Arabidopsis thaliana: one gene and its partners. The protein of the gene in region 4 binds, or shares a complex with, the protein of the main gene of each other region. Each region holds a gene or a part of one and is shown on either strand. Other genes may lie near its edges.

Region 1 (7,697 bases), on a different chromosome or scaffold from region 4:
TTTCACTCCCATAACAGTCAAGACAGTGATGTAGAGAAAGAGAAAAGTAGCGATGAACTCAGCGATCCCAGCTCTCCAAAAAGACCATGAAGAAAGCTCACCAGGTTCGAAAAACGGAGCTGGTGGTGGTTCCTTGTAGTCCTTGTCACTCTGAGCTGATGTTCCGATTGGTTGTCTCTCCGGGAACTTGTTAGCTCCAACTCTAACGTCTTCTTCCTTGCCTTCCATATCTTCGATCTCTGTAGAGAGAAATTGTAAAGCTCTGTTTTTTTTCTTCTTCTTCTTCTCTGAGTGTGGGATTTGAGAAAGTAGAGTGGTTAATTATATAGTTGGAAGATGTAATGCAAAGAAAGTTGAGAAATAAAAAATAAAGACGATGATGACAAATTGACAATAACATAAAATTTTGTTAATGTTATCTTCGTAGTAATCATACTTACTAAATAAATCTAATTATTGGATTGGGTCAGTGATAATTTAACCGTTTGGACTTTGGACAGAGTTTTGAATGCTCCATTCCAGCTATTTTTGTAGTTTTATCAGTAATGTTTTCTAATCAAAAATAGATCAATGTCTGTTTTTAATAATCCCTCATGATTGTCACTAATTTGGTTAGTTACTAACTGTTACGAACAAAACATGATCCTCCAGTTGAGATGATCTGGCGTTTGCCAGCCAGGATAAGAAGTTAAGAACATCTGTACCATAAGCACCATGCACATTCATTATGTACCATGACTATGACATTCTCCATAATGATTAATGAGTGTACCTACAGAGTTGGGAAATTAAGAGATAGTACCAATAATTCTGTTTTTTCTCTCTTCATGATCGTCTAAACTAACTTTTTTTATTTATGATGATTGATAATCGTTATCGAACTAGTGAATAAATTTTTTCTATCATCAAAGTTACAAAGCACTGGTTTGTGCCAAGATTACAAATTATTTGTTCCTACCACAAAACGTAAGTAGTGTACTAATTGCCAAATAGAAAAGACAATGTTAAAGAAAACAAAAACATGCTTAGTGGTTGCTATATTGTTCTGGAATGGGCCCTATGGCCCTACGCTCTTGTAGCATCCAAGGGCCATCTTGATTACCACCTAGTATTTTCCAACTCCTTATCAATCATTTTGACACTGTAATTAAGTAATTAATGATAAAAAAGGCTCATGTGAGATACTTTCTCAAACTAAAAATCCACATTTACACGATTTGAGGACCTTCAATCTTTAAATTATTATTTTTATATGTATATTTAAGCTGCAAAATAGAAACACTTAAAACCAAAATGTTGAAACATCAGCTAAAATCACTAGCCACTAAAAAAAAAGACCGACCCATTAAGCCTCATGACATGATAAAAGAATGTGTGAAGTGTGATTTTGGAATTTTTATGTTGGAGACTGATTATTTAATAGCCGTCCAATGCATCGACGATAAGATACGTGGAGTCATACCACCTAATGCCGGCGCCTTACATATCCAAAACCGACCATTTATCTTATGACATATGTACTCGATCAATTTATTAATTTTATTGTGGCTGCTATTCATGATTGCATTTGCCCCACCTAGCCACCCCCATTTGCGTCACGGCTCCATAAAAAAAAAAAATATTCATTGACCAAACACAAAAAAACAAGCGAAAATTACCAATGTCCTCCTAACATGAAATTAATAAGACAAATGTTATCGTCTGCCTATAATAAACTAAAAAAAAACAATAAAAAAAAGTTGCGACTTTTAGCTCGAGACAATAAATGGGCCATACATATACGGGCTTAAGCTAACAACACTACTATTGATCGCAGGCCCGGTTAAACAAGGCTCGTACACGTGGCTCTTGAGACTCATCAACTTCGGGTGTGAACTGTTGAACCATCTCAAGACATGAGCTATCACGGCTCGTACACGTGGTTCTAACCACCTCATTATCTCTCGAACTTAAAATTAACAAAATTCCCAAATTATTTAGCTATTTTTGTCTGATCTGCCGACGCTAGCCGTTCTCCTCCGCCAGATTCAAATATTTCCTCCGCCGTCGACACTCCTTACCTCCTCCGGCTCACAAACTTAATCCACCAATTTTACCATGCTTTAGAACCTTGGGCATATATCAATGGAGAAGCGAGTCAAATACAAGAGCTTTGTGAAGGATCCAGGAACTCTTGGATCCCTCGAATTAGTAAGAATACTTTAACTCTTTGCCACTATATGATTTCTATTTTTGTTTCCTTACTCAATGGTTTTTTTCTCAAAGGATCTTCCAATTTTTGTTCTCAGAGTGAAGTGATGCTGCTCTTTGTCCCAAATGATCCTAAATCAGATTTGAAGCTTAAAGTTCAGACTCACAACATCAAAAGTAAGTGTTTGATTATCCATATTGTTCATTCAGATTTATCATGAATAATTTCTCTAAATGATTATTGTGCCATGTTAAATTTCTCAGGTCAGAAATATACCAAAGAAGGATCAAATAAACCTCCTTGGCTCAATCTGACCAGCAAGCAGGTTGTTTTTCCTCGGCCCTTTTTGCTCAAGGCTAAAAAATATTGATAGGTGTATCACTGAAGTTTCCTCGTCTTTGATTATTACAGGGAAGGAGTCATATCTTTGAGTTTGAAAATTATCCTGACATGCATGCTTGTCGTGATTTCATCAGTAAGCTCCACGTGCCATGATTTGGTGTTATTGATTCATTTTAAGTATTTTTTCTGTGTTTCTTTCGTGGTGTTGTTGCTGTAACCAATTGTGCTATGAACAGCTAAGGCCCTTGCTAAATGTGAAGAGGAGCCTAATAAACTAGTTGTCTTGACACCTGCTGAACAACTTAGTATGGCAGAATTTGAGCTACGCTTCAAGCTTCTTCGAGAAAATAGGTGTGTAATCACTTATAAAAGTTGCTTTCTTTTTGGGTAAAAGTTTCTGATATTATGATAATGAAGTGAGTTGCAGAAATTGCATAAGCAATTTGTGGAAAGTAAAGTCCTGACGGAAGACGAATTCTGGTCTACGAGGAAGGTTGGTTCTTTGTTTGTTTCCTTGATGTTTCAGTTTTGCTCTTCTCGTAAGTCTCAATCGTAATAGTTATCAACTGTGTTCTGATCGCAGAAATTACTTGGTAAAGATTCCATTAGAAAGTCAAAACAACAGATGGGGCTCAAAAGCATGATGGTTTCAGGCATCAAACCGTCTACTGATGGCCGGGTATGGTATAATACATCCATTTGCTGATAAATTTTATATGACATTTCATCTGGTTTAACCTCTCTTCAATTTTTGATCTTTCAGACTAATAGGGTGACGTTTAACTTAACGTCTGAGATAATTTTTCAGGTTAGCTATCTGGTTCACTATCTTTCTCATTGATGTAAGGGCTATATAAGTTTCTGAATTTGAATCCAAGCGCGATCCTCCAGGGTCGGGATAAGTTTATATGGCCAATGGGGTTGAAGTTGCAATTGGTGATATATTGAGTCATAAATTCATTACTAGATGTTCGGGTTGCATCATGTGCTTGAACTTACAAATTCCAGTGGGAAACTAGAATTGAAAAGTAAAAACATTTTTAACTAAATGCTGCTTCATTCATACTACTGTCCTTTTCTCACATATGATATCTTCATAACTCTTTCAGATTTTTGCTGAGAAGCCGGCTGTTCGCCAGGCATTCATAAATTATGTTCCGAAAAAGGTAACAAAGACTTCAGCACTCTGACCATCTTTGTTTATTGGTTTAATCATCAAATACAATGATTCATAACTGCCTTTCGTAGTTATTTTTCTACGCCAGATGACAGAAAAGGACTTTTGGACAAAATATTTTAGAGCAGAATATCTTTACAGCACAAAAAATACAGCAGTAGCTGCAGCAGAAGCTGCTGAGGATGAGGAACTCGCTGTCTTTCTGAAGCCTGACGAGATATTGGCTCAGGAAGCTCGTCAAAAGGTCATTTCTTTTTTATAATTAATTATTTCCATGTCATTTGCTTAAAAGGATAATGATTGTGGTCTAACCAATAACCATTTATTTTAAATGTCATGTTTGTAGATGAGACGGGTTGATCCAACTCTTGACATGGACGCTGACGAGGGAGATGACTACACCCATCTTATGGTAAGCCAACTATCAACTCATTCTGCATCAAGGTTTATTGAAACGATAATTTCAAGTTAACAGTGTAGAAATTTCCACAGATAAAATAGGTCTCTCATCGGCTTTTTCAGTGTTGGTGTTTACATATTGTCTCACCCTAGAAGTAGTAGTAGCATGAGAAGCATTGTGCTCCATAGATGATACTAATACTGACGGTGATAAGCATCAACTTGTAACAGTGTGTCAAATGTTTTGTTTTCTAGAATTTCATCAATCCTTTTATAAGTTATTCAATCAAGAAAATTTATGTTCTCACAAATGTAAATTATGGACTGTGTAAACTATATTTGAATTATGTGATCTATTTCTTGCTTAGAAATTGAATTTCATTTAGTGCTTTATCTCCCACTCAGGTCCATTACTTTATATTAGCCTAACGCTAGTATCCAGAAAACAGTGATCTTATAACTTACATTTTGCTCTTTCTATATGTTGGTTGAAAGGTTATTCACATTTTCTGCTGGATCATATTTTATTTTGTGCTTAATTAAATTTCCTGTCACTCAGGACCACGGGATCCAGCGCGATGGCACCAATGACATTATTGAACCACAGAATGACCAGCTTAAGAGGTCACTTTTACAAGATCTTAATCGTCATGCTGCTGTTGTATTGGAAGGAAGATGCATCAGTAAACACTTTCAACTCTGATTGTTTCATCTGGTGTTTTGTGTAACAGTATAAAAAATAGCCATCAAATGACTTCCCAACAGATAGTTGATGAGGGATAAACATGTATTTTGGCCCTCTGCTTTTAGTTCTTGGTGGTAAAGTATACAATGATACTCACTTATTCTTTTATACTGGAAAGTAGATGTTCAGTCTGAAGATACGAGAATTGTTGCAGAGGCTCTCACACGGGCGAAACAAGGTTTGCTGTTTCATTATGATATGCTCTACTTATCTTTTTCTTTTTCTATGCTGATCAATGGCCAATGCTGCAATTCATATTCATCTGACCTAGGTATCCATGTCTATTACCCCTGGTAGTAAGCAAAGCTGATGGTGAAATCACCAAGGACGCTAATCAGGAGAGGTTGGAGAGAATGTCCCGTGCAACAGAAATGGAGGATCTTCAAGCACCACAAAACTTCCCATTAGCACCACTCTCTATCAAGGTCTTGGCTTTTTGTGATAAATAGGTTTACACTGTTGATGATGAAAGATGGTGCGTAAATCCTCGTACCTTCTCTTGTTTGGAATCAGGACCCTCGTGATTACTTTGAATCTCAACAAGGAAACATCCTCAGTGAACCCAGAGGAGCAAAGGCGTCAAAAAGAAATGTCCATGAAGCTTATGGATTACTAAAAGAATCCATTTTGGTGATTAGAATGACGGGATTAAGTGATCCGTTGATTAAACCTGAAGTTTCCTTTGAGGTGCTATTCTATCTCAATATAAAATGCATGCTGCCTAAAGAAACCATGGCTTATTGCTTTGTTCCCTGAGCTAAATATTGCTAAACCCTATCCAGGTTTTCAGTTCGTTGACCCGAACTATCTCAACTGCCAAAAATATTCTCGGGAAGAACCCGCAAGAGAGCTTTCTGGACAGATTACCAAAGTCCACTAAGGATGAAGTTATACATGTAAGTCTGACATCCTCCAATGTCCCAAGTAACAAGCAGCTCAATATATACTGATTACTGTAATTTGGTTAATAATGCCTATGGATATTGTTGTCCCCTCAAATGCATCAATACTTTTTCCTTTTTTCTCTCATATACAGCACTGGACATCAATACAAGAATTAGTGAGACATTTTTGGTCATCTTACCCAATAACAACGACATATCTTAGTACCAAGGTAATGTTGTTGCCACTTCACATTCTTCCAATCATAGAGTTTGCTATGTACATAGATTCTTCAGGATCAAATTGAAATTTATTTACACTGAGAGGAAATTCTTATACTAGGATGTTATATTTTATCATGCAGGTTGGTAAACTGAAGGATGCAATGTCCAATACTTATTCACTACTCGATGTAAGCTATGGAATTCTTCTTCAAATCTTTTTCTCGGAGTAATGCGTTAGAAAAGTAGTTCATTATATCTTCATACGAATGCATTTACACAAACATGAAATTTGGGTAAAATGAATAGGTGCAGAGTTGTAGTCGAAACTTACAGCATATGGTCTAGTGTTTATGGTTTCCGTAATATTATACCGAATGTAAACCAGGCAATGAAACAGTCGGTGCAGTCTGATCTCCGGCATCAAGTTTCCTTACTAGTTCGTCCAATGCAACAGGTTAGCTTCCTTCCAATTCATAGATAGTTTTATTACATCATGTCTTGGTGAAGTCTTATTTTTTCCACTCGCATTGTATCGATCCAATTTAACCAGCAAAACCAGACATTGCGTTGTAATCCAGTTTATGAATTGAAATCTGAGTGATATTAACCCGTTTTCTCCACCAGGCTCTTGATGCTGCGTTCCAACACTACGAATCGGACTTGCAGAGAAGAACCGCTAAGATTACATAGAGAACGTTTTGTACTTGGAAAGAAAGAGATTTCCTTCGACAAAAAATTAAACATTGGACTGAACATTTAGATTTTGTAGTGTAATAGATAAGATTCTTAAAGAACTTGAGTGAGAAGCATCATTAGCGGGATTTGGCCAAGAATGTTGCTTGTGCTACAAGGAACCTCTCAATACCCCAATTGTTTTTTTTTTGGGTGGCAAAACAGTTGGTTAAGAACTTGATTGAGAAGCATTAGCGGGGTTTGGTTAAGAATGTTGCTTGAGCTATGTAGTCACTGAATCGGTCATTAAACTCTCATAAACAGAAATCGATGATGCTAATACTATTGTTTAGTTAAAGGTTAGATATGTTGCTAATGAATTTGTTTAGTTTTGTAAGAGCATAGTGATAATTGAGAAATTGGATAATATATAGAGAAGACGATGGGAAGTGTATAGGGGTATTCGGGTTTAATTAACCTAGCATTTGTTTTGAGAATGTTTGTAATAAATTTGTTTACCATAAAAAAACCTTATAGAAATTAAATTAACCTAACCTAAAAAAAAATAAAAAAATGAAAAATGAGAATAAGAAAGAAAGAAAGTGAAGACAGAAAGGTTCACAGAAATAGCCATCTAGAAGAGCCTCACCGACTTCATCAGCCACCAACGAACCCTGAGATTCTATTTTCATCATCTCGAGCCATGAGCCATCGCGGCTCGTACACGTGGCAATTATAACCCACTCCATTTTCTCTCTTGTCTTTTTTTTTTTTTTGCGCGAGAAAAACTTAATTATTAAAAAGAAATCCCAAAATATTATTAAGCCCTTCTTTCTCTCTCTTATCCGCTCCTGTCTCTCTCTCTCTCTTGGTCTGTTTCTGCCGCCGCCGTCGCCGTTATCCCCCGCCAGATTCAAATCTTTCTTCCACCATCGTCACTCATTGCTTCTCCTCCGGTCGTAAGGTACGACACGCTTGTATTCTTCTTATCTATTGCTTTCTCATCGTCGTGTTTCTCCATTATATGTATCTCTCTATGCGTGTGCTACTTGTTCGATTGTATCG
Region 2 (7,728 bases), about 20 Mb from region 4:
GTATGTCATGTCAATATGACAAGCAATGAGTAACTTTATCTGTTTTTATTTTTTTCCTCACAATGAGTAAATTAATCATTCAAATCAAAAGTTATCCATGAATGCTATGTCAAAAAAAGTTTTATGTTGAATTTTATATATTTCTAATTTGGATTGTTGTTTGATGCGATTCAAACATTGAAATCTACTACGCCATCGAAGCATTTTCTCTATTATTGTCCCATTATTATAAATATTCACCAGTAACCAAATAACCAAACAATTATGGCACTGAGAGCTTTCTTGGAGCTGTAGTAACGTCCTCAAAGCCTGTAGAGAATTTACTAATACATTGCAAACTTAAAAATGTTCAGATCGAGAAAATCTCTTTGTTGTCTCTCGCAGTTAACAATATAACGCCTAATTAACAAAAAAAAGAAAAGAAAATATTACTACAATATAAACGCATTTTTGTATCTCAATGGTCGGACAAAAAGGGACAAATGAAGATTTTCAAAAACACCAACCAAGGCTGATGAAACAATTCAAAGATCTTGCAAAGCTTTTTAGTTTTAGTTTTTTTGTCCTCTATACGTAGCCGTTTGGTCTTTCGCCGCTCTTAGCTGTTCTTCTCTGCAGATCCACTTCGTAGTGATGGAACGCAGCGTCAAGAGCCTAGCAGAGAAAACCGATTAAGATCAATTTTCAAACCGGATTACAATGCAAGGCTGTAGAAACTGGATATAGATGCAATATGAGTGGAAAATATAGACTTAACCGAGACATGATGTAATAAAAGTATAAAACTCTTCCGTAGATATTGGAAGAAGCTAACCTGTTGCATTGGACGAACCAGTAGAGAAACCTGATGCCGGAGATCAGATTGCACCGACTCTTTCATTGCCTGAGTTACATGGAGTTTAATATCAAGGAAACCGTACAGTTGACCATATATATGCAAATAAGATTCGACTACAATACTGCATCAATTTTATTTACCCAAAAATTTCATTTTCGTAAACGCATTGGTATGATTAGGAACTACTGTTTTAACATAGCAGATTTACTATCAGTTGCTTATTCTGTCAGAAAGATGAAGAATTTCAAAGCTTACCTCAAGTTTTGAATATGTATTGGACATTGCATCCTTCAGTTTACCAACCTGCATGATAATAATATAACATCACAAGAATCGACGAAAAATATTTGGTATAATAACTTGCTCTTGGTGTATAATAAGATTAAATTTCCCGTGAAAGCCTAGGAATCAATATATATAGCAATTTCTGGGACTGGGAGATTTGAAAATTGCAATAACATTACCTTGGTATGAAGATATGTGGTTGTTATCGGATAAGATGACCAAAAATGTTTCAGTAATTCTTGTATTGATGTCCAATGCTGTAGATGAAAGAAGAAAAGTCCTCTTATCCATATGCATTACTACCTAATCTTCACTAACTAGTACATATAGAGCTTCTTGTCACTTAGGACACTGGAAAATGTCGGACTTACGTGTAGAACTTCATCCTTAGTGGACTTTGGTAATCTGTCCAGAAAGCTCTCTCGTGGGTTCTTCCCATTAATATTTTTAGCAGTTGCAATGGTTCGGGTTAACGAACTGAAAACCTGAATAGGGTTAGCAATTTTTAGCTCAGGCAACAAAGCAATAAGTAATGATTTCTTTTGTCAGCACACTTTTTATTATGTGACAGAATAGCACCTCGAAAGAAACTTCAGGCTTAATCAACGGATCACTTAATCCTGTAGCTCTAATCTCTAAAATGGATTCCTTTAGTAATCCATAAGCTTCATGGACATTTCTCTTCAAGCCCTTTGCTCCTCTGGGTACATTGAGGACGTTTCCTTGTTGAGATTCAAAGTAATCACGAGGATCCTGATTCCAAAGAAGAAAGGGTAAGCGGATTAACGCAGCATCCATCATCAATTGTGAAAACCTTATATTGGCAGAAAGCCAAACCTTGATAGAAAGCGGCGCCAATGGGAAATTTTGTGGTGCTTGAAGATCCTCCATTCCTGCTACCCGGGACATTCTTTCCAATCTCTCCTGATTAGCGTCCTTGGTGGTTTCACCATCAGCTTTGCTTACTAACAGGGGTGTAAAATAGAGATGGATAGCAAGGTCAGATGAATAAAAAGCGTGGCATTGTTTAGCAGAATGAAACATCATACCTTGTTTAACCCGTGTGAGAGCCTCTGCAACAATCCTTGTATCTTCTGACTCAACATCTGCTTTCCAATTACAGGAATATTATTGTATATTTACCACCAAGAACTAAAGTCAAAAGGCCAACATAAATGTTTACACTTCCTGAACTATCTACTGTTATAAAATATTCAGATAAAAAGATTCAAATGAGGTTCTTAGAGGTGTTTACCAATGCTTCTGCCTTCCAATACAACAGCAGCATGACGATTAAGATCTTGCAAAAGTGATCGTTTAAACTGATCATTTTGTGGTTCAACAACATCCATGGTGCCATCACGCTGGATCCCGTGGTCCTGTGTTATGGGAAAGTTATATTAAGTACGATAAAGTGTATTGAAAATAACGTTTCAACCGCATACAAAGAGCACAATGTCAATGTTAAGATTAATATTTTCTAGATATCAGTTTTGAGCTCCTTCTCACACATGCTAATATTAAAGTAGTGGTCTTGTGAAAAAGCAAAAGCACTAATTCAGAGTTATTTGAAAGAAACTAAATTCCTGATTTAACAATTCAAATTAGGTTCGCTGAGAATTCTAGAAGAAAGAAACAAGTGACACACATTGGTACAGGTTTGATTCTTAACACCGTTAGTATTATCCCAGTTCTTCCCATACTATTTCTACTAGGGATAGACAATACGTAAACATCAACACTACAAACCTCGATGAAAGACTTATTCTATGTGTGAATCTGTACAGTGTTAACTGAGCATTGAACTTTCCTTTCAACAACCATTGTTGCGCAATTTGGAAATTATCCAAACCTTTCACATGCAGTGGTAGTTGACTTACCATAAGATGAGTGTAGTCGTCTCCCTGGTCAGCCTCCATGTCAAGAGTTGGATCAACCCGTCTAATCTACAGAGATGACATTTAAATCAGATGGATATGCCACAAATATTTTCTTTTCAAACAAAATATATGATAAATGATTAAACCATAGAAGAAACCTAACCTTGTGACGAGTTTCCCGAGCCAATATCTCATCAGGCTTCAGAAAGACAGCGAGTTCCTCGTCCTCAGCAGCTTCTGCTGCAGCTACTGCTGTATTTTTGGTGCTGTAAAGATATTCTGCTCTAAAATATTTTGTCCAGAAGTCTTTTTCTGTCATCTGGCGTAGGAAAATAACTACCAAAGCCAGTTAAGATTCGTCGTATTTGAGGGTTAACCTTATAAACAAAGATGGTCACAGTGAGCTGGTCTTTGTTACCTTACTCGGAACATAATTGATGAATGCCTGCCGAACAGCTGGCTTCTCAGCAAAAATCTGAAAGCGTAATGAAGAAAACATAAGTAAGAAAAGGACTGTAGCAGTTACGAAAGTAACATTTAAGTTACTTGCAATGGATTTACTGGCTAAGCAAGCACAAGATAGAATGTGGGTGAAAGACTGTTAAAAAAGTTTATATTCCTCATTTGTAGTTTCAGATTGGACTAGAAGTTCAAGCACATGATGCAACCTGAACACCTAACAATGGATTTCTGACCCAATATATCACTAGCTGCAACTTCAACCCCATAACATATAAAAAACTTATGATGACGACCTTGGAGGGATTCAGAAACTGATAGAGCAGTTACACTAATGACAAACATAGTGAACCAAAGAGCTCACCTGAAAAATTATCTCAGGTGTCAAGTTAAACGTCACTCTATTAGTCTGAAAGAAGAAAAATGAAGAAAGTGGTTAGTAAACCAGCAGAGATGTCACATGATAATATGATATATATCAACATATGAATGTAATTCAGTCGAACACATCAGTGTATGGTCATATAGATGCATTGTTTCTTTCCTACAAAAGCAGGCACATGAAAATGCTAACTAAATTGGCTGTACTAACTGCCAGAAAGGAGTTGAGATAACTATACCATACCCGCCCATCAGTAGATGGTTTGATGCCAGAAACCATCATGCTCTTAAGCCCGAGCTGCTGTTTTGACTTTCTGATGGAATCTTTACCAAGTAATTTCTGCAGCCAGAATAAAGTCGGTAACTATGAAGACATTGAAGAGAACAAAATTTTTAAAAAAATCAAACAAAGAACCAACCTTTCTTGTAGCCCAGAATTCATCTTCAGTCAGTACTTTACTTTCCACAAATTGCTTATGCAATCTCTGCAGCTCACTTTAAATCACGTATGTTACTCATATTAGAAGGAACTTGATGAGCCAATGAAACTTTGAACCCAAAAAGGCAACTTAATGTTCCAATTACATACCTATTTTCTCTCAGAAGCTTGAAGCGCAGCTCCAATTCCTTAATACTGAGTTGCTCGGAAGATGTCGAGACAACGGATTTATTAGGCTCCAATTCACATTTAGCAAGGGCCTTAGCTGTTTATAGTAAAAAAGAGGTTACAGAAACACCACGAAAGAAAACAAGAGAAATACTTTCCCAATCAATAAAAGCAAACCAAGGGACATGGAGGTTACTGATGAAATCACGGCAAGCATGCATGTCGGGATAATTTTCAAACTCAAAGATATGACTCTTTGCCTACAATCAAGGATGAGGAAACCTCAATGAACACAGAGATATAGCTTCAAAATTCACATATCTATAATGTATCATAGCTTTAATCAAAAAATGTCAACAGAAAAAACCTGCTTGTTGGTGAGATTGAGCCAAGGAGGTTTATTTGATCCTTCTTTGGTATATTTTTGACCTGAGAGATTGAACAAACACAGTGAAATTTGATAATGACTATGCAGCTATCATCATAACTGAAATCGTTTATCAACACAACATCTATTATCCAATAAGCAATGTTAATGAGAAAAGGTACAAACAATACTTTTGATGTTCTGAGTAAGTACTTTGAGCTTAGAATCTGATTTGGGATCATTAGGGACGAAGAGCAACATCCCTTCTCTCTGCAAATTTTTCGATTTTGCAAAAGAAACAGTTAAGCTGAGAGATAATATAACTCAAATAAGAGCGAAAAGTGTAATCTTCATACAATTCTGAGAAATCCAGGAGTTCCTGGATCCTTGACAGTGCTCTTGTATTTGACTAGCTTCTCTATTTGCCCACCAGCCATATCCAACTGTAGAAACGGTGGTTCTCTGTTTTCCAGTCGATCAATTCATCGGAAATCAAGCGAAATTGGAATCTAGGTTTATACTATAGAACGGGAATAAGTATCCGACCCGAATCATGACCCAACTTACTGACCCGAATTAAACTGCTACGGCCCATTATGATTGGTCATGTGATAAAATGAACAAAAAGTCAAAACTAATTAGGGGCATCAAAATGTAAGATTCATCCTTATGTCGATTTTCATCTGATCAAAGACCGGTGTGTAGATATCCGACCAAGCTTTCTTGAGAGGAGAGTACCGGTTCGGTGGAACGGCTACTTCTCTAAACTGAACTTTCCCATCAGACATTTCATGAGCCTTCAAAGTTCAATGGCTTAACCGTCATAGGCTCGGTTTCAGTTGCGGATTGAATAGACTCTGCCATGGACTTTAACACCTTCAATGACTAAATTCAAACCTGTAAAATAGCATACAACACCTTAAATTATGATAGTCTCACGACTATAATCAATATGTACCAAATTCTGTAATCTCTAGTATAAATCAATAATGAGGATAGACACAGAAAAGAAGAAAAGATACATATTTGTGCATTTATCAACTAAATTGACATCGACAAAAAAAGACCACAAACCAGATAAAGCTTCAAACGATAGATTTTTTTTGAAAGCTCTATAGAATTGAAGCTGATTACTGTACAGAAGAAGAAAAGAGTAGCTGGCTTACTAGAGGATGTCGACGGCTGAAGAAGAAGAAGGTAGACGTAGAAAGAGTTTTGAGTTCGAAATTTGGGAGGTTTTTTTGATTAGGGATCTATTTATTACAGAATGAAACGACGTCTTTAATATTTTGGGCCACTAATAAGGCCCATTATTGACGTAGTTCGTTTGCCGGGAAAAAATAATTGAAAAAAAATCTTCATTTTCCAGCATCTTATGAAGAACAATATTCCCTCTCTTCAAAATTGGAGGAAGAGATGAAGCGAATCTCAGATTCGAAGATGAAGAAGGCGATGGTGGTGGTGATAGGTAGCTGTCGAAGGTAAGTTTCTTCTGCAAGGAAATTCCATTTTGTTGTTTTCGTCGTTTTCATTTTGCGATTCTATTAGACCCATATCGGTTTACTTGTCTGATTCTTCTTTTTCACTTTGATTTTTCCTACGCATGAACACCATCCATTCCATATATCAGATTCGTGCGACATTCTAGTTTCTGATTATTTGGCAGTCACAGAGATTTCCTGATTCGAGTTCGTTTCTATGTAATTTCCTCTTAGTTTTCCGGCATTGTGGCGGATCTCAGAGGTCTTAGAGTCTGATTTTGTTTCCATTGAAGACGATCTGAAATCGCTTATGTAGCTATTGATTCAGTTTCAGGGAGTTGTTTTCTGATTTTTTTTTTTCCGGAGATTTGGTTTCTGTAAACCATGTAGTACTCACATTGGTATGTAGCACAGATTCTAGTCTTAGAGTAGAAGAATGTATATATTCCTCTGTTTTGAATTTTTCATATTAGCTAAGAAACTAGTTGGTTGATTCTCTGAAACTACTGAACCATTCCTGTTGAATTTGCTTGTAGCATGATATGTTTTAACATCTGTCACCATTACAATAAACTAGGGAAGATTACAGATCATGGGAGGATATGTATGTTTAGCTTTTTAGCTTGGTATAACTTTAGTATCATGAATCGGGTAAAATTGCTAAAAGATGATTGTAGATTTTACTTTAAAAGTTCAGAAAACTATATTAGTGTTATAGATTAACAATTCAAAGTTCAAGCTAAGAAGCTCACATTCAATCAAATCATGAATTTACATGTTGCTGTCTTATCCTTGTAAGGACAATACTTGGGTTTTGAGTTAAAACCCCCAATACTTTAATCTGTACATAAAGACCAACAAATCCTTTTGCACAAAAAATCAGTGTCCATAAATGTATTTTGTATAATTATAGCACACATACCCTTTCTGATTTCCCCTAAAATCCTTTCCAGGTACTGAGGACTTCGTGGAAGATTTCAGAAATCAAATCTCTGTCTGCGCATTGCATGAATATGTTGAACTCGTCTCGGATCTCAAATATTTTGCCAAACTTCACAAGATATCTCATGCAGCTAGCCTTCAGTTCAGGTAATTGATAGAGATAAGCATTCTGTAGCCTCTCAAGCACATTCTTTGTGTCGATATCGTCTAGAAGACTCAAGTGGCACGCCTCTTTTAAATCAGCAATATCATATTTCTCAGCTGCTTGGAGGAGTGCCAATCTGTGTATAAGAAAGTCTTCGTTTTGGATATTGCCGTAGATATAACTGAGAAAAGCTTGGCAAGCATCAAGTGGCATGTCGAGTACGTTTATTTCTGATAGTTCTTTCTCTTTCAGGTCGTGTAAAAACATGCTGCGGAAAACAGGTGAACGGGCAGCGAGAACTGCTCGGTGAGCTCCAATGCTTCCATCAGAGGCATTGATCGTT
Region 3 (7,284 bases), on a different chromosome or scaffold from region 4:
AATCCACATTTATTACAATCTTAATATTAACTTTGGATTCAAATATCTTGTATTTCTAATAATTATGTTTTTTTTTCGTTTTTTTTTCCACACTTATGATTTTTATAAGAGTACACTTTAATGAAATAAGATGCTTCAAATGATAGTATAGAGCATTATAATTTGCAACCAATGGGAGTTGGCCATTTGAAGATTTGTGATCATGAAGCTTGTCAAAGAAATAGATAAAGAATATCAATCCGTTAGGACTAAATAGACAAAAAATTAAGTAAATCAATGTAACTGAAAAAGTGGTCAAAATGCTACCTACACAGAACTTTAATTGTAGGTTTAGCTTATAAAAATACAAAAGGTATACATATAAATACATAGGAATAAAAAAAGAAAGAATTATTAACAAATAATATTCCTCTTACGTGGGACGAACATTGATAATTCATTTTATCTCGATTTATCTTTATACATTTTTGCTGTTGTGCATGTTTGTGTTTGGTGAGGGTATCTTACTATCTTACCAACTTCCTCCACAATTGCAAAGTAGCCTCCTCGAAATAGAAACATACACTTACATATTTAAACAATGTCATAATACTTACAAAAAATAAAAATAAAAAAAATACTTACATACATGATACATCATACATTTTTTTATTAATTTAAGTAATTTATTTGTTAATTTCAACAAATTTGCACAAAAGTTACATACAACTCGAAACAAACAGCCGAAAACTCTTGAAAGCTTCTCTTTGTTTCTCTCACACGTAACGTTTTTTGAAGAGATTGTGTCGTTTGGTTGGGTCTTTAGGTTTCTTGAATTGCTGACCGGATTTGTGACGGCCTGAGTTGTATTCCATGTAGACCATTCCTTTTGAACCGGACATTACGCTCATCGATCCCATGCTTCGTCTCGCCTTTTGTAGAGCCATTCCGTCTGTGTCTTCTTCGAGTTGCTCTAAACCGACCAGATCGTCTCCAGCATTCATCACCTTTCCAAGAAGAGACAACTGTTCTTCTTGACTATGGTAGCTCAAGCTTGAACCCGCGTCCGGAGGTGGGAGGCTTGTTATAACCTTAAAGCTGTAACCTTGGTCTATCAAGAACTGTTGTCTTTTCGTCGAATAATACATTTCCTGCATTTTCAACATTCACAATCCTTAAATCAGCCATTCACATGGAGATACGAGTACGGGTGTTTGTATTATCAGTTCAAGTTTCATGTTTCGGGTTTTAGAAAACGAGGTCGGGCAAGAACTGAATCATATTTTGGTTCTAATTCGGGTTCGGTCTGAGGAAATTCAGTTTTTATGCCTACTTCACTTTAGTGATTTACCTGTGTATCTGTCGAAACAAGTGAGTAGAAGAATGCATTGTACTCTTCTTTTCCACCGGCCATTCTATCTTCGAGTTTACCCTGTTTTCATCATATGGAGAAATATCAAAAAAATTTGATCCAACCAACAAGAGAAACTAAAAGAGACACTTAAGTGATGAGTACGAAATTCAAACCTTAGCCCTAAGAATACGACCCAAACGCTGAGCCTCTTGACGTCTAGAACCAGCATGTGACGAAATCTGGATAATCACATTAGCTTCAGGGATATCTATGGAGTTATCACCAACCTGTAGTCAAATAAACCAAACGGAAATTAAGTTCCCTAACGAACATGGAATGGAGGAAGGACAAATTTATATAATGAAGGAAACAATGTTTATACCTTTGACAGGAAGACAGTGTTCACGTCTTTACTGGTTTTAAACGCCTCGAGAATTTTTGTCCTTTCGATATGACTACATATTGAAAAAAAAATTGAATTATCAAATTGGAAATTGAGTGAAAACGAAAAAAGTGTGTTATCAATAGAACTTGAACGAACCTGGTTGCACCATAAATCATTGGTTTCCGGAGTTTCATCGCATACTCTGTAAGCGCAAAAAGATTGTCTGCAAAGACAATGATTTTATCCCCACGTTGTTGTTCATGGAAACGAATCAGAAACTCACAGGCTCTGAACTTGTTAGGGTTCATGACATAAAGTGCCTGCAGATACCAGAAGACCCATGTCAGAACAACTGTCAAGGTTTACTAGCTCCAATTCCATAGACTTTCCATGGTGGTTCTATTAGAGCATTTTCCAAATTAGAAAAGCACACTAAAAAAAGAACCTATATTGATGCTTACAATATTTCAAGGTTCCAGACTACATAAAATTCATGGACTCTAGTGCATCAGATGAAACTAACATAAAGATCAGATATCTAACAATCTCAGATATTATTTTCAGAAAATGCAAAAAAGCATATATTCATGAACCTGCTTTTTCTTGGAGTTCTCTTTCTTTAGATATTCTGCAAAAAACTCTTTGGTCATGGGACACCATACTTCAGCACACTGAACATTTGCAATAAAGCCTCCTTTAACTAAATCTAGCCAATTGGCTTCATAGAGTTTCGGGCCAATGAGGAAGTTCAAATCTGTAATCCTTTCGTCTTCTCTCACAAGGGTGGCTGAACAAAAGTCCAAAAAAGAAACTTAGCTTCTGCAACTGAAGTATACATATGTAAATGTATGTGAAAATGAACCCTTAAATTACCTGTAAGTCCTAGCTTGCAGTGAGATTTTGTGATACTGATAACTTTCCTAAACATATGGGCTGGAACCACATGCACCTAAAACAAAACAGAAATCTTGAAAAGTCAAGCATAGAATGGAAACTTATTGTTTGTAGATCGCATTCATGGGCTCAACACTGGATACACCTTCTCAACGAACATATGACTTTTCCGCAAAATAACTACCAGCAAACACTAACATCAATTTGATTACCTCATCCATGAGCAGTAACCCCCACTCTCTGTTTCTCATTTCTTCTATAATCTTCTCTGATTCCTCAGACCGTTTACCACCAAAGGCAACCATATTATAGGTTGTCACAACAACACCAGCATTTCCACGGAATCGTTCTTTACTATCAGAAGTGAAACGACATATTTGGTCATCTCTTATAGTAGACCACAACTTGAACTGGAAGGCCCACTGATCCACTGAGACAGCATTCGTCGCCAAACAAAGACAACTCTTCTTTATACGAGCAGCTGCAGAAACACCAACTAGAGATTTACCAGCACCACAAGGCAACACTATAATCCCAGATCTTGCTCGCCCTGCAAATCCAAGATTCAAGATCAGTCACAATATTTCTCAAGAAATTACAAAGATAATTATCTATTAGGTGTTCACCATAAAGCTAGATCAGTCACGTGGAAGTACAAGTGGACATATCTATGAGAAGTTCACCATCAATAAGGAAAAATAATGTGGATGCAGACAGCTATACCGTTCCCAAACATTTTGCTCAAACTTTTTTCCTGGTATGGCCTCGGTTGTGCATGGGGCTTCAGTTCCATGTCAAGATCGGGATTAACCTGAGAGACACCATCAAGTTATTAACAATCACACACCTGCGGTGCATATCATCTGGTAAGCAAAAATTGGCCTGAAGTGTAATATTTGTTACTCACATTGTCGTTCCTGAAGTCATATTCCTCTAACATAGGGTAATTCAAGGCATTTGGTAAGCAACGCTGCTTCACATTCTCCACCTAAACACCAAGAGAAAAAGAGCATGACACCACGAGTTAAGTAAAGATCATACAACTTTACCAAACTCATCAATTCGATTACTTTTAAGAAGCATTAGGAGAAATTTACCTGTGCAGGGTCAATCTCAAATGAGTGAGTTTCTTTCTCTTCTGCTGCTGCTGCAAATTCCGCTTCATTCAATAGCTCCCCGGGTCCTGCTTCAAGTTCACCGCATGTTCTGCCGACCGAGAATCCATCACCGCCATAATATGGCTACCAAAAAAGTTAATCTAAGTTGGTTCGACATACTGTGGAGAATACAATGGTATTAGATTAAATAAATCAACAGTCAATGAATCAAGAGTTTAAGAAAAAAGGATTATGAGTTAATTTACCAACTGAAACATCGTTCCAAGGAACTTAGGAGTTAGGAATATAAACATGAAACCAAGAACCTGAGAGAATCAAAATATATATATATCTGCCACACTGGTGACAAAAGATGCAAAACACCGTTGAGAACAACCAAAAATGGTATGTATTTCCATCCAGCATAAAATCTTGAAAGCAAACATAATGAACTAAATGGAGGAGTTCAACATACCTCAGAAGAAAATCTAGCTCGGTTTATAACATCGTCGCTGAGAAGCCTTTTCAAAACCTGAGATTGTTTTGTGTTTACAATTGAGCAAAGGCAATGGAAAAACGAAAACCAATATCCAAATACACAAGAGCAGAGACAGAGCATCAGCCTAATGAACTTACCTCTGGGAATGGGGACTCAATAAAATACCGATTCTTCTTCAAAACCAGCTTTACTTTCCCATAATTAGCAGTAGAAGCATGGATGAACTCAATCATCTCCTTGGGTAGCTTAGTCTTAGACAGTTTATTCAAAACAGAAATGATAGTTTCTGTCTCAAGACCAACGGAAACAGCAGCATACAACGAGTGTGGGGTTAAATTATACTCGTGCATTGACTCAGGCCTGAAATAGTAACAAATGAATGAAAATCAACAACAAAAATCATAACTTGTACATTGATATAATCACCAAATCAAAATCGAACCTGCAAACGGGTTCAGCAATGGCGATAAGAAAGTCATAAGCTTGTTTATAGAGAGGAGAAAATGTCTCCAAGAAAATCCTTCCATCAGCACAAGCCCACAAAGGCCTGTTTCCATGATCTGGCTTCAACTCCAATTTAGTAAAATCTCTCTTCTTCTCCTCTCCTTCACCTTCAAAAACCATTATAACTTTTCAATTCAATTTTGTTCCAAATGTATCCATTTGTAAGTAATAAGTATGCTACAATCTTACCATCACGAGAGTCTTCATCAGCATCATCATAGTAATCTTCAGCGTTTTGGATGTTCTTCATCTTTTGATCATCCTGAGATTTGACAGTACAATTACACTCACTAACTACCATCTGAAGAGCCCTAATTGATAAAATAAAAAATTGATCTGGAGAAGAATCAAGACGAACCTTGCCACCATACTTCATCTTCTTGTTAGGTCTTCCTCTTTCACCTGAACAACAGAACTTCACAGTATTGGCATACTTTTGTTTGGCAAGATAAACTAAGCAAAAATCAGTAAGATCGAGCTGCTTAATACCGTTTCCCATATTGATCTTCTTTTTTTGTCTTGTATCTTCCAATTGAAGTTATCAATTAGCGATTCCTGAGAAGAACAAAGAAGGAAGACAACCGGCGCCGTGAAAATTTACCGTTGAAAGCTATTTGGCGGAGGGAGTAGCTGCGTCCCCGGCGGATTTTGAATCGGATTCGGTGTCGGGTTCGGGTATCACTGGTTTAATCATTAATGTCAAGGAAGGGAAATGTAAAGTAGAAGATTCAAAAGGCTACAAATAAATAACGGATCAAATATGGGCTTTAATAGACCTCTTTTAATGTGGGCTTTCTTATTCTCACGTTGAGCCCATTCTTTTTTCTTTTAGCCTCTAAGATTATTCTTACATATGCAAAATGGGAGATGAAAGACAAACCATAGGATGAGGAAGGAAAGCGCATGAGAGCATGCACATAGTTGGTACTCATAGAGTACCATTAATAATATTTTACTATTAATTTTAATGTTTATTTATTGTTTGAAACTTTTTATAATATTGATAATAAATCTGTTTCCACCGGTGAAATCGTATTAGTATCATTAAAAAAAAAAAATTGCAAAATCGAAAAGATGCGTTTTCCCGACTAATCGAAAAAAAAAATTTCTCTCTTTTCACACAAAAACATGTTTTCCCAACTAATCATAACCCGCCACGTTATCAGAGACTGGTATCAAAGAAATCACTCCAGTGATACTACTTAAACCCAAATCAGTTATTTTATTCATTAATTTAATATTTTTGGGCTTATGATACTCATAAAAATTGTGCAATGTACATGGTCTGAGAATGGGAGACGATTCAATGCCCAAAGAGTTGCCACGTTCTTCTCCTTCTCAAGTGACACAAAGTATGAACCAAGAGGAGACCAATGTACATCCAACGCTCCTGCACAAGACAAATAGCATTACATTACCCCATCTGCAGCAGTATATAATCTCGGTCCCTTAGAGCATCCTCATTGCATATCTTTTATGGGTGTCTTTAAACTTTTAAACTACTTAAAAAAGTGGAAAATAATAAATGGATGTGTCTTAATAGTAGACATTTTACCTGTCAAAAGAGAGAGGGTCTTTAAATTTAATATTATTTAATATGAAAGACATTCATTGGAGGATGTGCAATGAGGATGCTCTTACCTTGGTCATATAGACATTATCTGGATGCACAAAAGAAGCAAGACCTTCTTCTTACCAACGTCTCAAAAACATGTCGGGCCTTCTTCTTACGATTTGGATAACATCTTAACAACTGGGCCATAACGGATGACTAATTGACCCAGATCTTCTTCATCAGTACGACACTTAAAAGAAAAAACACACAGAGTCGGGTCTTCTTCATCTTTCACCTGAACAACAAAATTCCCCAGAATTGACAATACTTTTTTTTGCAGGGTAATATGAAAATTAACCAAAATCAGTAAGATCGAGACTTTTATCGTTCCCCATATTGATCTTTTTCTCTTCATCGAATCAATTTTAGACATTATCTCTTGTCTTTTCAATCGATTATATCAATCCGGTGTCGAAGACAGAAATTCTACGACAGAGGGAAAACAAACGGTACCGTAAATATTTTCCGTTGTAAGCTAGACCGAGAAGCGAGCTGCGTCTCCGTCGCATTATGATTCGGATTCGGTGTCGGGTCCAGGTCCGGGTATGTCGAGTCCGTTACTGAGTTGATGTGATCATGTGAATGCAGAGAACGTTATAGCAGAAATGCAAACTCGATTCATATATAGAAAGGCTACAATAACGGATCCAATATGGGCATTTAGTAGGCCTCTTTTAGCGTGGGCTTTCTTTAATCTCAAATTGAGCCCATTATTATTTTTAATTCGAAATCATGACAAGTAATTATTTTTTAACCTCGAAAACTAAGTACGTTTTACTGTTGTTCAGGATCTGTCAACCAAATTATAATCGTGTTTTATATGTTGGTTCAGCGAGATATCATGACAGTTGACAATAACAAAATAATTTTCAAAGGTATTCTCGAGGCGATATCATGATATGCTAGAAAACAAATATCAAAAAAAAGGAAAGAACTTTCTAATATCAATTAATCAAT
Region 4 (6,796 bases):
TATAAACAGTATTTCTGAACTTCTAATGGAAACCTACAAAAAGAATGAAAGCTTTATTACGGAGGAACGGAAAAAGGAAACTTGGCCGAGAGAGACGAAAATACCTAAATACCCCCCTTGGGAAAAAGGAAAATTTGGCTCAAGAGAGGAAATTCCCTAAATAGTCTTCGGGAAAAAGGAAATCTGGTTTCTCGCACGTTGAAAAATTAGCCTGCGTAATAACGGCTAGTGGGTGAGCTGGAACTCCAACTGTTGGGCTTTGCAAGTGCCCAATGGGCTTCGACAGTTTTTGAGGCGGTTATTGGAGACAGGTGATTGGGTCGTCGCACTAACTCTGCCAATTTCAATTCCACTTCTACTGCTTGGTTAAATTTATTTAATCATTCTTTAAGATTTTTTTTTTTTAGTGGTATGTTTGATAGATTTAACAAGGAGCCGACGAAGTATTTCTTGATCTAAAATGATGTAATGAGTGAATATGATAATCTAGTTATCTTAACATTAAGCATAAATTTTGCTAATTTCAATAGATTTAAAACCAAAACGAAACTTTTACGAGCCTTAAATTTCAATTCGATTCTTGAAAATCATCAAGAAAAAGAACAAAATACCTACAGTGAAAATTTTTGCTACAACAATTTTTGATTGACCTAAACCAAAAAATAACAAACAAACTGATTTACTAATAAGCCATGTCTTGCACACCAGTCTCAGCCATCTTCTCCAAATCTTCTTGTGTCAACAGAGTTTTCCTTCCCATTGTACCCGCCTTATCATACGGTTGAGCCATTTTCCGAAGAAACTGCAAAAAAAACAAAAACCAGGAAAATTGTTGATTCTTTATGCCTTGTTGTTTGTTTCACTGTGAGTTATAAAAAAGCAGCGAGTTATAGGTTTACCTCTCGAGCAATGTGAATAGCCATATCAGTGCTTAGATTCAAGTGTGCATCACGCAGATGCGAAAGTATCCAACCAGGTAGTTTGGACCGCTTATCATGACGGCTGTATCTGCAAGTTTTACCATCAATTGCAGTGTATTGTTAGACCATAGAAATGTGACATTATAAACCAACATAAGCATATATCTGTGTCTCTCTTCTGTCCTACGAATATTTTCCCATTCCTAAGGAACAGTGTGAACTCTGTTACAATCTTCTATTCTCGAGGTGATCTCAGATACTTGCGCATATACTTATTATCATACTAGATAGATTATAGAGAGAATCCCATTTAGTAAAATAGCAAGAATCTAAATGACCAGACTCAGAGAGAGAAAACTTAAGGCGGGCATGTACCTTTTGTCTGCAAATATCATCATCCCATAATCAGCCTTTGACCGGATTACTCGCCCTACACATTGAGCTGCTTGCCTCTGTGTTAAAGCCAAAAAGAGTTAACAACAGTCACAAACAGGTAAAAGAGTTGCACACCAAAATCTAATAAGATCATAAAATAAGAATCATACCAAGGCATCAAAAGTTAGGAAATCGCCTTCTTTTATTTGAAATGTATCGTGCAAATACTCCAATCTTGCTCGTAATATCCTGAAATTTTTCCCGTTTCCATCTTATCATCTCCCAAGTACGATGAAATATAAAAGCAGAAAACCGGAAATTGAAATGATAAACATTCATTTGAGTACAACTTACTTGCTTAATGTATACTGGAATGGTACTCCGTACATTACAACCAGTCTTCCATAATGACGATCAAAATCGATACCTTCAGCAACTTTCCCCCTGCAGTTCAAATACAAAATTTGATCACTTTCTTTGAAATTTCTCAAAAGTGAAACCTCTTTAATATTTGTTAACCAACCAAGAATAGGAGAGAAGAGACAATTCCAGTATTATAATACAGAAACAAAGAAGCAGAACCAAAGACGCATTGCAATGAATTCCCAAACCATCTACCATTCAAAAATAAAAATTTTACCTGGCCACAGAGAAGAAAACTGCACCTCTTCCGCAATCGCAAGCCCTGCGATAATTATCCAGTGCCAATGTTGTTTCTACAACATCTTGTGTTTCAATGAAAACAAGCTTCTGTTGCATTATTTCCTACAAACATTAAGAGAATTGGTAATATCAGTAAACAAATATACATTAATGCCTGAAGCAACTAAAAATATTTTGAGGTATCATAAAAATTCCAATTCATGCAAAACTCTGAAAAAATTACTGGCATGGTAAAGCGATGAAGAAGACCTTACCTTCAGAATTCCAGTTTCATTCCATGTAGCAATAATGCCATCCATATATGAGTAACTAACAAAGAAGCAGACAACTCCATCAGGAACAATAGATACCATCTCTACCAAAAGCTTTCCGTAATTCCTCACAACACCAGGATCACTTCTCATGTCAAATTTGGTGCTAACAGGAAGCTGATCACTGAAAAAGAAAACAACCAATAATGTCAAGACATATAAAATTAAAAAATAAGTTAAGTGTTCAGGATTCTTTTTATATACCACATACCTTCCCCGAGTTAGAACCATAGGGCAGATGCAGTCTCGTGTCATTGACATCTTAAAGCTTCGACTAACAACAGGAGTGAAATTAAGAAGACGGGGGTAAAGATCAATTGGGCTCAATGTGCCTGATGTAATCACGACTGACTGGAAACGATCAAACACCGGTTTGATCGCCAGAGACGCATCATGACAGCTCAACTAAGATACAAAAGGATATATGTTTCAGATACAATTCTCAATTATTCAAACGGTAGCATTTACGTGTGAGTCATAATCCCTTAAAATCCCAGTGACAATACTCAAAAGAAAGTAGGTCAACACCATATTTACCTGCAATATAGGATCTGGAATATGGGGCATTCTCTCGTCATAAGGCTCGATGATGATGGAAAATCCCCGGGCATATGTCCCAACAAGAGTTGCAAAGTCGCACACTGTCTGGATAGGCAAAAACTCATCTGTATCTGTAATTTCAAGGGTTAGCATGAGAGACTGGAGCCGGTCATAACAGAACTTCAGTGTTTTCTGCTCAATTCCAGCCTGAGAATTCAGTGACGATACAAAGCTAACAGGGCTTTCTTTCTCTACATTCTCAGTGTCCAGCCGTACCCCCAAGTACTGAAGTAATCGGCGTAAAACATGCACAAAATGCTCAGCCCGTCTAATATTCCCCGGGACAGCCTCCTTTAGAATATCATGAGGCAGTGCAGGGTTTGCAAGCCATTGATCACCTCCTGCAAAAAAAAAATTGTTGCGTCAAGTTCATAGAATTAGAAAATTTACTGTGTGCTTTCAATCAAATCACAGATCACCTTCCTGAACACATACTTACCAGATAAGTCCCCTCTCAGTGCTAAACCCTCAACCAGCCGGTTGTATTCAGCTCGCAATCTTCCTGCATCAGTAGCCTTGAACCTTCCTACCAGTTGGACAATTTCAATAATGTAATAAGAACTTAAAAATAAGCATCAGCAAATAACCAGGTCACTTCCTGTATTGAACCAAGAAAATTATGCTTCATGTGTTTAAGATGATGACAAAAGCGTTTGTAAATTTTTGTTCCCCTTACAGTTCTTTGACAAAAAGCAGTCTCATAAAACCAGATTATTTTCTTACTAACTTAAACTTCCTTAAGAAAACCAACAATTAGCAACTGGAGTGAGCAGACACCCAGATGGCATTCAAGAACAATCAGGAAATTCAATTGAAAAAGAAAAGACCCTATCACTGTGTTTATTGTTGTATTAAGAGTGGCACGTTCAAGAGAACTTAAGGAGTATCAGCTATATAGGAAAAAATTAGCGTACCTATCAATTTCTTGCCTTATCTTATTAAGATTTCGATTAGCTCCTTCAAGTGTAACCCTCCTCACACTGACGCTGAGTGCTTCAATACACACGTTATCGATATTATGGGCCTCGTCAAACACTACAACTGACTCTTTTTGTAACTCCTTTGATATGAACCCAGCAACCTTAGGATCCAGTAGGTATTGGTAGCTGTAAACAATAACGTTGGCGAACTGAATCATATGCCTCGCGAGAAAGTAAGGGCACCATCCACGATTCTTACCAAACGCCCTTAGATCCTAAAAATCGAAACACACATATACCATCAGGCAAAATGTGCAAGTAACCTCGAAATAAGCATTCCAACTAAAACATAAACTTGATCAAACAACAAATGTGAAAAACCTTAACTTTTTTAATCTTACCTCTAAAGTATAAACACCAGGAGGCAACAACGCATTCTCAGCAGCCTTTTCATAGTTCTCAAAGAAGTCACAGAGTTCTACATTTGGATTCTCCGTGGACAAAGCCCTAACCCAGCTAGCAGTTCGTTTCCTACAGGCCGCATCAACAGAATCACGATTCTCGGCTGCTAAAACCTTAGTATTAACGCAAAGATTCTTCCGAGAGGAAAGACCAAGGGCGAGGATCTTAGCCTGGGTGCCGAGATGGCGTACTTGGTAGTCATGTAGTAGCTTAAGCTCACCTAACGTTTTCTCCATCTCGTGGACAGTACGAGTACAGTAAACAAGCTTGATCGGAGAATCAGGACGAGAGAGTCGATAGCTGGTGATTAGAGAGAGAAGAGCAATGGTTTTACCAGTTCCGGTAGGCATCTCGAGAAGACAATGTCCCTTAGCGTCTAGGGCTCGCTTCAATTCAACCATGTATTCATATTGTTCTGGATATATGTTGTCATAAGGGAAGTAGACAGTTACGTCTTCGATTTTAAAGATCATCTTCTTCCTCCTACCTAGAAATCGAAATTGGCATTAGAACTAACAAAACCCTAAAAAACTCGAATTCACTTTAGCAAAACAAGCGATTCAAGTTGGAGTAGATAAACCCGAACAACGAGAAAGAAGGAACAATTGAGATCAAGCGAAGAGAAGATAACAGGAGAAAACTTACAGGTGATAATGGAAGCTTCGATGTGTTATCAACGACTGAGAGAGGAACCGGTAGCAGCTTCAAGGTAGAAGAAGAAGAAGAAGAAGAAGAAGAAGAAAATTTTGCGTCTGTGTTTGCCGAAGTAACCAGAGCAAACAGAAGAGGAGGACTCTTATTAGAAAAACTTAAAGCTTTGTTTCTTTTTCATTCTGACCCCCTATTTATTTATTTTAATGCGTTTGACCCCCTAACTTTATGTATATTAAACTTCTCGACAAAATTAGGTTTTTAAATGTTAACAATTCGTCCAAAAATATAAAATAGTTGAACAATCCTGATTTTGTTAAAACAACAGAGTATTAGAGTATGCAGTAGTAGTAGTACAATGTCATCTCAAGATTTGGAATTGTTTCAACAATGCTGGTTTTTTTCTAAAATTTGCAACAGGGTTTAGTTACAACAATAGAGAGATACAAACAAACTCTAAAGTCTTATTCTTCAACTGGTTGATGGAAAGCTAATCCCTTTATCACATGTCGACATTGATACCTGCAATGACACAGTAAGGCATGGTCAAGAACTTGTTTAGTGTGTAACTGGAGAATTGTGAATAAGAGAAGTACCATATTAGATCATTTGTGGGAGGAGAATTTGTTGCATTGTCTTGCGTTCTGCACTTGAATCTCAACTTTGAAGGCACAAACTGCAATAATAAAAGATGTTTGCAGGTGACGGAAAATCGGAATGTTGTACATGGATGTGTGAAATAGAATTAGCAGAGAAGTGTATACCTTTCTGTTGTATCTGAAGTCACGTTTAGGAAGGAAATGTTGTGGAAGATTCAAAGTAGGTGGAGCATGAACCAATATGAAGAGCCTCATTGGACCTGCAACTCAGAAGAAGGGAAAAAAATCATTACACCATAATTCACAACAATGCTAAAGAAGTTTGCAATTTATGCAAAAGTTACCTGGGTAGGAAGTTGATCCAGCACCCGTCGAGATCAGTGCTCGGATAGTCTGTAAAGCCAAGAGTGAAGGGCTCAACCATTTTTGACTTATCACAGCAGATAAAATTGAAAAGAGACAAATCACAAGCAACATGAAAACAGAGGTAAGAAAAAGAATAAACCTTTTTTGAAAGTGCTTCTGCAGCTTTGGATTTAGCAAAGTCACCTTCGTAGCCTAGAACATGGTCTCTGCGTTGTGTGAATAACAACTCATAAGCATTTTGAGGCCGTAATGGACTACCACCAAGAATCAACACAACTTTCTGAATGCCAGGAGCTTCACGGATCATTAACTGCAGCGCACTTCGGAGACTAGAGATGGTTTTCATCAGTTTCTCCAGTTTCTTAATCTCATTCTTCACCTCTCTCTTTCTACTCATCAGTTTTCTTCTAACCAGTGGTTTCACTTGAGGTTCTGCAAGATTCGTCTCCTACAACCTAAGATTCTTAGAGTGTGAAAAAGACCTTAGACCTTAAAGTGAAAATGGCGTCTGTAGGACTAACATACCAAATCCATAAATTCAGTTTGCAATCCTTCAAATTCAAGGCTCATGTCTTGTAATACCCTGCACAGATGTAAATAACCAACAACAGTCATATTGGTAGAAGGAGCTTTGTGTAGCCAAAACCAAAGCTGCAAATTGAAGTTTCTGGTTTTCAGTAAAACACTCATAGTGGATACAACAGACTTAATTCTAAAACCAAAAGGAAGTAGTGTGCACAATTGCGTAGAGCTTTTCAATTTCTCCTAGAATTGAACATAACTCACCTACCAGGAATTAATCACTAATCCATCCAGAATCCATAAATTCATAACCACGAAACTATTTTTCTTCTGATAAATTCGTAACCAACAGACTAATCGGAGAAATTAACGGAGAGATTGAAGAACAAACAAATAGATACATCATC

What was found.
Region 1: UVH6 (region 4) and AT3G61420 share a complex: the UniProt entries of both Arabidopsis thaliana proteins name them as parts of the 7-subunit TFIIH core complex.
Region 2: UVH6 (region 4) and AT1G55750 share a complex: the UniProt entries of both Arabidopsis thaliana proteins name them as parts of the 7-subunit TFIIH core complex.
Region 3: UVH6 (region 4) and XPB1 share a complex: the UniProt entries of both Arabidopsis thaliana proteins name them as parts of the 7-subunit TFIIH core complex.

The regions. Positions count from the first base shown.
Region 1 is NC_003074.8:22,726,188-22,733,884, reverse strand, and holds AT3G61420 (BSD domain (BTF2-like transcription factors, Synapse-associated proteins and DOS2-like proteins)), read left to right. Parts: upstream 1-1,732; 5' UTR 1,733-2,124; coding exon 2,125-2,190; intron 2,191-2,265; exon of another isoform or gene 2,266-2,288; coding exon 2,289-2,367; intron 2,368-2,454; coding exon 2,455-2,516; intron 2,517-2,602; coding exon 2,603-2,666; intron 2,667-2,769; coding exon 2,770-2,884; intron 2,885-2,950; coding exon 2,951-3,026; intron 3,027-3,116; coding exon 3,117-3,212; intron 3,213-3,296; coding exon 3,297-3,341; intron 3,342-3,642; coding exon 3,643-3,699; intron 3,700-3,798; coding exon 3,799-3,954; intron 3,955-4,056; coding exon 4,057-4,122; intron 4,123-4,668; coding exon 4,669-4,792; intron 4,793-4,975; coding exon 4,976-5,032; intron 5,033-5,151; coding exon 5,152-5,279; intron 5,280-5,367; coding exon 5,368-5,541; intron 5,542-5,636; coding exon 5,637-5,750; intron 5,751-5,890; coding exon 5,891-5,968; intron 5,969-6,100; coding exon 6,101-6,148; intron 6,149-6,345; coding exon 6,346-6,414; and 4 more. Other genes in the region: PIP1A (plasma membrane intrinsic protein 1A), read right to left, coding at 1-228. UniProt on the Arabidopsis thaliana protein: Component of the general transcription and DNA repair factor IIH (TFIIH) core complex, which is involved in general and transcription-coupled nucleotide excision repair (NER) of damaged DNA and, when complexed to CAK, in RNA transcription by RNA polymerase II.
Region 2 is NC_003070.9:20,839,882-20,847,609, forward strand, and holds AT1G55750 (BSD domain (BTF2-like transcription factors, Synapse-associated proteins and DOS2-like proteins)), read right to left. Parts: upstream 6,019-7,728; 5' UTR 5,984-6,018; intron 5,715-5,983; 5' UTR 5,255-5,714; coding exon 5,174-5,254; intron 5,088-5,173; coding exon 5,009-5,087; intron 4,880-5,008; coding exon 4,818-4,879; intron 4,711-4,817; coding exon 4,647-4,710; intron 4,548-4,646; coding exon 4,433-4,547; intron 4,339-4,432; coding exon 4,263-4,338; intron 4,184-4,262; coding exon 4,088-4,183; intron 3,872-4,087; coding exon 3,827-3,871; intron 3,479-3,826; coding exon 3,422-3,478; intron 3,323-3,421; coding exon 3,167-3,322; intron 3,070-3,166; coding exon 3,004-3,069; intron 2,503-3,003; coding exon 2,379-2,502; intron 2,230-2,378; coding exon 2,173-2,229; intron 2,089-2,172; coding exon 1,961-2,088; intron 1,877-1,960; coding exon 1,703-1,876; intron 1,609-1,702; coding exon 1,495-1,608; coding exon of another isoform or gene 1,441-1,494; exon of another isoform or gene 1,381-1,440; coding exon 1,303-1,380; coding exon of another isoform or gene 1,240-1,302; exon of another isoform or gene 1,142-1,239; and 7 more. Other genes in the region: AT1G55755 (uncharacterized protein), read left to right, coding at 6,234-6,285, 7,252-7,387, 7,638-7,695; AT1G55760 (BTB/POZ domain-containing protein), read right to left, coding at 7,236-7,728. UniProt on the Arabidopsis thaliana protein: Component of the general transcription and DNA repair factor IIH (TFIIH) core complex, which is involved in general and transcription-coupled nucleotide excision repair (NER) of damaged DNA and, when complexed to CAK, in RNA transcription by RNA polymerase II.
Region 3 is NC_003076.8:16,549,264-16,556,547, reverse strand, and holds XPB1 (DNA repair helicase XPB1-like protein), read right to left. Parts: upstream 5,430-7,284; 5' UTR 5,212-5,429; coding exon 5,202-5,211; intron 5,115-5,201; coding exon 5,071-5,114; intron 4,975-5,070; coding exon 4,902-4,974; intron 4,820-4,901; coding exon 4,651-4,819; intron 4,569-4,650; coding exon 4,346-4,568; intron 4,242-4,345; coding exon 4,185-4,241; intron 3,854-4,184; coding exon 3,710-3,853; intron 3,601-3,709; coding exon 3,520-3,600; intron 3,424-3,519; coding exon 3,336-3,423; intron 3,163-3,335; coding exon 2,825-3,162; intron 2,668-2,824; coding exon 2,592-2,667; intron 2,506-2,591; coding exon 2,312-2,505; intron 2,039-2,311; coding exon 1,875-2,038; intron 1,789-1,874; coding exon 1,716-1,788; intron 1,621-1,715; coding exon 1,507-1,620; intron 1,412-1,506; coding exon 1,331-1,411; intron 1,131-1,330; coding exon 756-1,130; 3' UTR 510-755; downstream 1-509. UniProt on the Arabidopsis thaliana protein: ATP-dependent 3'-5' DNA helicase/translocase; binds dsDNA rather than ssDNA, unzipping it in a translocase rather than classical helicase activity. Component of the general transcription and DNA repair factor IIH (TFIIH) core complex.
Region 4 is NC_003070.9:773,750-780,545, reverse strand, and holds UVH6 (RAD3-like DNA-binding helicase protein), read right to left. Parts: upstream 5,020-6,796; 5' UTR 4,897-5,019; exon of another isoform or gene 4,739-4,896; 5' UTR 4,725-4,738; coding exon 4,191-4,724; intron 4,065-4,190; coding exon 3,784-4,064; intron 3,392-3,783; coding exon 3,309-3,391; intron 3,211-3,308; coding exon 2,807-3,210; intron 2,675-2,806; coding exon 2,481-2,674; intron 2,394-2,480; coding exon 2,213-2,393; intron 2,061-2,212; coding exon 1,936-2,060; intron 1,740-1,935; coding exon 1,650-1,739; intron 1,545-1,649; coding exon 1,466-1,544; intron 1,373-1,465; coding exon 1,296-1,372; intron 1,009-1,295; coding exon 900-1,008; intron 803-899; coding exon 683-802; 3' UTR 502-682; downstream 1-501. Other genes in the region: AT1G03180 (non-structural protein), read right to left, coding at 5,367-5,424, 5,499-5,578, 5,667-5,761, 5,846-5,894, 6,007-6,315, 6,393-6,450. UniProt on the Arabidopsis thaliana protein: ATP-dependent 5'-3' DNA helicase, component of the general transcription and DNA repair factor IIH (TFIIH) core complex, which is involved in general and transcription-coupled nucleotide excision repair (NER) of damaged DNA and, when complexed to CDK-activating kinase (CAK), involved in transcription by RNA polymerase II.